Cricetulus griseus: one gene and its partner. The protein of the gene in region 2 interacts with the protein of the main gene of each other region in a biochemical or structural test. Links are inferred from orthologs where the notes say so. Each region holds a gene or a part of one and is shown on either strand. Other genes may lie near its edges.

Region 1 (3,426 bases), about 550 kb from region 2:
GCTGTGGTGCTTGTCTCTGCAGGTAGGCCAAGCTCTCGCCTGACCCTGGAGGAGGCACACGCAGTTCAATTTAACATACCTTTTATGGAGTACCTACTCTATGCCAGGCCCTGCACTGGGCACTGGGGTACAGACATGATTCAGACACAGTCTAGCTTGGGAAACAGACTCATGCCCGACTAATTATAAAACAGTGAGATAAGTGTCACAGTATTAGCATGAACCAAGAAAGCACAGACAACTATTTCTGCCTGGGAGAGCTGGGGAAGGAGGTGACACTTGAGTAGGGCCTCAAAGGGACAAGATAACTGCCAGGCATAGTGGGGGAAGGGCATCCCAGGCAGGGGGTACTACAGAGCAAAAAGCAAGGGAGCTTGGCCATATGTGGCTTGCTCGGGGTGGGAGGGTGGTCTTGAGGGGTGGGAGGTGGCCAGCCTGTGGCCTTGCTCCCAGCATTTGGGCATGCCCTGCTCTGGGGCAGAGGCCTGGGAGGAGGAGTAGCGCCCTCCTTTTCCTCCCCCATCACCCTCCAAGGGGCCTCAGGGCGAGGCTGCCTTGCCTGCCAGGTCCTCGCAGACCTCCGGGTCCTCGTCAGAGGAGGAGGAGGAGCTCAGGGAGCCTGCCTCACTGCTGTCGTCTTCCCCACAGACCGCTCGGGAATGGAGAATTCCGCTTCGGTGGAGCAGCTCCAGGAGACGCTGCTGCGGGCTCTTCGGGCTCTGGTGCTGAAGAACCGGCCCTCGGAGACTTCCCGCTTCACCAAGCTGCTGCTCAAGCTGCCGGACCTGCGGACCCTGAACAACATGCATTCCGAGAAGCTGCTGTCCTTCCGGGTGGACGCCCAGTGACCCGCCCGGCCGGCCTTCTGCCGCTGCCCCCTTGTACAGAATCGAACTCTGCACTTCTCTCTCCTTTACGAGACGAAAAGGAAAAGCAAACCAGAATCTTATTTATATTGTTATAAAATATTCCAAGATGAGCCTCTGGCCCCCTGAGCCTTCTTGTAAATAACTCTTCCCCCACCCCCATCACCATGCTCCCCACCCCCCCTATTTAAACCACTCTTGCTCTCCCACCCTCCTCCAGCCCCCCGATTTGTTCTGTTCCTGTCTCAAATCCAATAGTTCACAGCTGAGTTGGCTTCTGTGATGTGTGCTCGTTTGGGGGGGGGGTAGAGGGGACTACTGCCAAGGCTGGGGGGGGCACCTCTCCATCTGGTCAGCTTGTGGGGTGGGTACTCTGCCAGCAGATGGGAGAATAAGGGGGAACAGCACGCAAGTCTAAGGGGGGGGTGCCCAGGGGAGTTATTTTCATCATATATTTATTACATAAATATATAGTAAAATAGACGAGCAACAATTACCATAAAAATATCTTTCTTTAAAATCCTGACCCAAAACACAATGGGGTGAAAAATCGCACATAACAGACATACTGATTGTCAACTGTGGGGCAGGAGTAGGAGCCCCTCAAGTCACCCCTACCGGTCCCACCCCTCTCTGGGGAAGGGACCTATCTCCTTCCCTGTTTTCTAGCCATAACCCCCCCCCACCCCAGCACCAGCTTCTCATACATTCAGTAGCGCCTCTGGGTAGTGTCCCCCTCCACCCAGGAGTTCCTAGGGCAGGAAGTACGTTCCCCCTAATGGACGGTGTCTATGTCACACGCCCTGCCCTGCCCTCTCCCAGCCCTATAGACCCACCACCCAGGGAAGGGGTAGGGGCTCCTCCTCCCCCACCCTCCCCAAGTCTGAGCAGGGAGGAGGCTGGATGAGGTATGTGTGTTATAAGTGATGGGAGGGGGGAATACTGAGATGGAGAGGCAGTGGTAGGGGCAGGGTAGTGGTCATGGCTCTGGCACCCCCTTGTCCTGGCCTGGCCCCCCCCATCCTTCTCCCAGCAACCCATCCTCCCATCAATACTGCACCTGCTGCCCCACCTGGCCTGCCCTAGTGCCCCGGGCCAACATTGGGGGAAGGCATGCTAAGCACCCATGCCAAGACCAACCCCCCATTAGCACCAATGGCCCCCAGGAGAGGGCCCTGTCCCCCACTTCCACAGCAGGGACTGGGACAGCTGCCTCTCTAGAGCAGGTGCGTGGCACTCCTGAGTCTCTCTGGCTCCTCCCCACAACATGTACTCACTCATACAATCACACATAGGAACACACATACACTCCACATCACTGAGGGGAAGGAAGGGCTGAAGGGGAGGGGAAGGGGAAGGGCTGAGGGGAAGGGGCTCACAGCTCATATGACTTGGGGAAAGGGGGGGATTCCCAAGTGCCTGTAAGAGGCCATGCCCATGGCTGAGAACGGGAATGGAGAAGGAGGAGTGGAGCCAGGGAAAGGAGGGAGACAGCAGGCAGGTCAGGAACTCCACTGGGCCCCAAGGTATAGGAGGAAGGTATGAGAGGGTTTACCCATGGGACTGGAGGAATATGGAAATCAGTACCCCAGGAGAGAGAAAGAAGATAGAGACAAAGATAGCACAGGTGGCCCAGGGGCCCCAAGGGGTGGGGCAGGCACATGCACAGGTGACAGGAGATGCTCCTCCAGGCCCTCTGCCCAGTTGGAACACCTGAACAGTGGCAGAGGACACTGCCCTGGGGACAGTGAAGCACTGCCTTCCTCGTGTGTGTGTGTGTGTGTGTGTGTGTGTGTGTGTGTGTGTAGGGGCTGTGGCAGGCTGAGGGTCAGAGTGGGGTGGCAGGTTCCCCACTGCTTAAGACATTTTTGCCCCAATAGTGCAAAGCGCAGGAAGCCCTGGCACCCCTCCCCCGCCCCCTGCCCCATTCCCCATGGCTTCCGGGGGGCATCTATGTCCACCCATCCATCCCTGCCGACATGCAGCCCTGAGCCCAGGGCCACTGGTCTGCTCTGTTTCTCCCTCTCCTCCCATCCCTCCCACTCATGGGAGGGCCACCTCCTCCCTCCCTCTCTCTGCAGAGGAGTGGGCTGTAGCCAAAGGGAGGAGAAGGAGGAGAGGAGGGCAGCTCACCCAAGCGCAGACCAACAGAGCACTCCTCACCAGAGGGTGGGAGATGGCTCAAGCCAAAGTCCCTGAATTAGAAAAGAAGAGGGGAGAAGGTTCCCAGGGGCAGAGGGGTGGCTGGCCTAAAGAGCTTCAAAGAAAACAGGAGGAGTGCCAAATGCCTCCTCCCCTGGGCCCCTAAGTGCCACTGATAGAAACTCCCACTGCGTGCCAACCTGCCCTACGTCTGGGTTAGTGCATCAAGTGGGACTAAGGAGGGCAAAGGGAGCCCAGAAAATAGACAGGAAACAGAGTCCCACAGAGGCGGAGGTTCTGGGAGACACACATGTCCACCCCCACCCCCACCCCCTTGCAGCAGCATCTGGGTTGTAGCTAATACTGCAGGGTATGAGGAGGGAAGGAGCCTGGGCCACAGTTTTTCCTGTGTGTGGGT
Region 2 (3,500 bases):
TTGATTCCAAGCGATCAGTCATTGCTGGCAAGGATGTTACTATGAAAAGATGGGGAAGAGGAGAAAAAGAACTCATAAAGAATATTCCATAAACATATCCAACAGTTCAGATGCTTATAATCTGCACCAAGCTTAGCTGTGACCTATGAATCAGGTGATACGGTGACAAGGTAATTAAGTGATCTGAGCACAGCGAGTATGACGTTTCATAGTCAATGTCAACTGGATTGGATTTAGAAGCACCAAGGAAACATACTGCTGTGTATTGCTTTTTGTTGTTGTTTTTTTTTCCAACAGAGTTTCTTTTCTTTTTCTTTCTGGTTTTTCTTTGTATAATTTGGAGCTGTCTGGAACTTACTCTGTAGACCAAGGATCTACTCAAAAGATCCGCTGACCTCTGCCTCCAGAGTGTTGGGATTAAAGGCGTGCGCCACCACTGCCCAGCATCCTCCTTTTTTATTACTTCTTATTTAGGTCAAGGTATCCATTAGAGAAACCATATGAAACTAATACAGATCCAAGCATTATACCTCTACTCCTAGCTACACTCATGAACCTAGGCTATCTACTAATGATAGGTTAAGGAAGATAAATATGAAAACCAGCATAAAGAGGGTTAAGGATGTATCTTAATGGTAGAACACACAGCATTCATGATGCCTTGGATTCCATTTCAATCAGCAAAACAGCAAAGAGATGGCTCTGTACTTGCAGACAGCTTACTTGCATACATGCACTTAGATGAATACTCTGAACTCTCTCAGTTCAACTGGTAGCTCCCCAAAACAGTAAAGAAAGTTTCTCTGTAGCTTTGAAGCCTTTCGTGGAACTTCCTCTGTAGACTTGCGCTCGCTCTCTCTCTCTCTCTCTCTCTCTCTCTCTCTCTCTCTCTCTCTCTCTCTCTCTCTCTCTCTGTCTCTTTCTCACACACACCATAAACAAATCAATAAAAATTTTCAGGAACAAGCTCACTTCTTAATTTATATTTCTATTTAGGCTTGAAAGTCAGACATCCCCCAAAATCATCCCTTCCTTAAAGCCTCCCCTCCTTAATGTGAGTTTTAATAAAACCAGCATACTTCGTTAAGGTGTGTACAAACCTTTGAGAGCCTTCTGCAATGTCTCCAAGCAGCTGACCAAATGCTGATGCCCTCCAGAACTCATTACAACCCTCTTCTCCTATATCAAATCACAAAATGATTGAAGCAAAAACATCAATGTTTCAGTTAAACACACATGTTATCATAGTAGGGAAGTTACAGACTGAAAATTGACTACAGATTCCTTTGAGACAAGGTTTCTAGCACAGGCTGGCTTTGCCTCACTATCTAGCAAAAGATGACCTTGAACTTCTGATCCTCCAGCCTCCACCCTCTGAGAACTTTTTTGGAAGGGGGGGGTGTCTTTTTTTTTTTTTTAATTTTCTTTTTTTGTTGTTGTTTGTTTTTTGAGACAGGGTTTTTCTGTGTAACCTTTCTGTAGACCACGCTGGCCTCAAACTCAGAGACCTGCCTAGATTTATTCTGGGATTTGGGACACTGCAAGTCAGGGGAATTTTCTGTGTAGCTTTAGAGCCTGTCCTAGTACTTACTCTATAGATCAGGCTGGCCTTGAACTCAGAGATCTGCCTGCCTCTGCCTCCTGAGTGCTGGGATTAAAGGCGTGCACCTCCAACGCCCTATCACATTAAGGAGTCTGAAACACTGGGAGTGCTGGGGGAGTTATTTTGTAACATTAATTTGTGTGTATGAGACAGACTTGTGTGCACACGTATGGACTTCAGAGTATACTGTCTAGGAATTAGTTCTGTACTTCCACCATGTGGGTTCTAGATCAAATTCGAGCCATCATTCTTAGCAGGAAGTCCCTTTTCTTGGTGAGCCATCCCACCAACCCAAAGTAATTTCGGGTCTGGAATGTCTCCTATAGCCGAGAATTGCCACTGGACTGAGATGAGAGGTGCACACCACAACCTGCTACCCTGTCCACCTACCCAAAGGAAGAAAAGTTCACACAGATAAAAACATCCACACTCACACGCAATAGTAAACCATGTATTCTACTATCTACTATAGGTCATACTTTGTGGGTGGGGGTATTGTTACTAATCCAAATGTCATTGGTGAGATCTACTTCCTATAAGTGACAACATCACCATGTCAGTGGTGACAAATACCTTTAATCCCAAGAAAATCTCTGTTTGTGAGTTTAAGGCCAGACAGGTCTACCTATGAGGGTTTCTAAGACTGGTAGGGCTATGAACTGAGATCCTGCATCAAAAAACAAAGCAAACACTTATCAGTGGTGGCTCACCCCTTTAATTCCAGCACTCAGGAGGCAGAGGCAGGTGGATCTCTGAGTTCAAGGCCAGTCTAGTCCACTAAATGAGCTGCAGGACAGTCAGGTCTACACAGAGAAACCCTATCTCCTTAGGAAAAAAAAAAAAAAGCATCCGGGTGGTGCATGCCTTTAATCCCAGGACTCAGGAAGCAGAGGAAGGAGGATCTTTGAGATCAGGGCCAAACGGGTCTATAAATCAAGTTCTAGGACAAGTTCTAAAGCTACACTTAGAAATTCTGTCTTGAACACCCCCCTAAAAAAGAAAACTTCCTGTGGGGCTAGGGAGATGGTTCAGTGATTAAAAGCAGCACTTCCTGTACTTGCAAAGGACCAGGGTTCACCAGTTCCTAGCTCTCACGTGATAGCTCAAAACCTGTAACTGGTGCCAGGATTCCCAACACCATCTTCTAAGCATCCACAGGGATTGCATTCACACGCTGAGTTTAGGACCACACAGGCAAACACTCAGAGTCAGAATTGAAAATAAATCTATAAGGTGTGGTGGCACACACACCTCTAATCCCAGCGTTAGGAAGGGAGAAGCCAGTGAGTCATTGTGATTTCAAGGCCTACATGGTCTGTATAGCAAGTTCCAGGCAATACAGTGATACCCTGTCAGAGAATAAAGAATAAAGGCTGGAGGGGCTGGAGAGATGGCTCAGCAAATAAGAAGTACTTGTTGCTTTTCAAGAGGACCCAGGTCTGACTCCAGCCACCCCTCAAGGCTACTCACAGCCATCTATCACAACCATCTGAAACTCCAGTTCCACAGGATCTAACAGATGTTCTTTTCTGACCTCCGGAGCCACCAGGTACTGACATGGTTCACATAAATAAAAGGACAAAACACTCAAACATATAAGTAAACCTAGAAAGTAAAAATAAACAAATCCCAATTCTTTTTTTAAAAAAAGGGGATGGGGGAAGGATGGTTCACAAATGGGTGACAAACAATTGTCACAGAGGCAGGAAGATTACAAAGTAATCAATTTAGAGTATGTATGAGACAAAGCAAATTATATAATAAGAAAAAGAAAAAGAGCATGAAATTGAAATATTTTTTTTGGATGGGGGCTGGATAGAGAGAGGGCTCCGTGGTTAAGAGCACTGTCTCTTCTTCCAGGGGTCCTGACTTCAATTCCCAGCAACCACATGGTGGC

What was found.
Region 1: the proteins of Med1 (region 2) and Thra form a complex in vitro, tested with the Homo sapiens proteins (6 studies listed by BioGRID, with this or other methods). The link is inferred for Cricetulus griseus from reciprocal best matches to the Homo sapiens genes MED1 and THRA.

The regions. Positions count from the first base shown.
Region 1 is NC_048600.1:111,850,355-111,853,780, reverse strand, and holds the end of Thra (thyroid hormone receptor alpha), read right to left. Parts: intron 912-3,426; coding exon 540-911; 3' UTR 501-539; downstream 1-500. Other genes in the region: Nr1d1 (nuclear receptor subfamily 1 group D member 1), read left to right, coding at 1-183.
Region 2 is NC_048600.1:111,303,112-111,306,611, forward strand, and holds part of Med1 (mediator of RNA polymerase II transcription subunit 1), read right to left. Parts: intron 1,180-3,500; coding exon 1,101-1,179; intron 40-1,100; coding exon 1-39. UniProt on the Homo sapiens protein: Component of the Mediator complex, a coactivator involved in the regulated transcription of nearly all RNA polymerase II-dependent genes.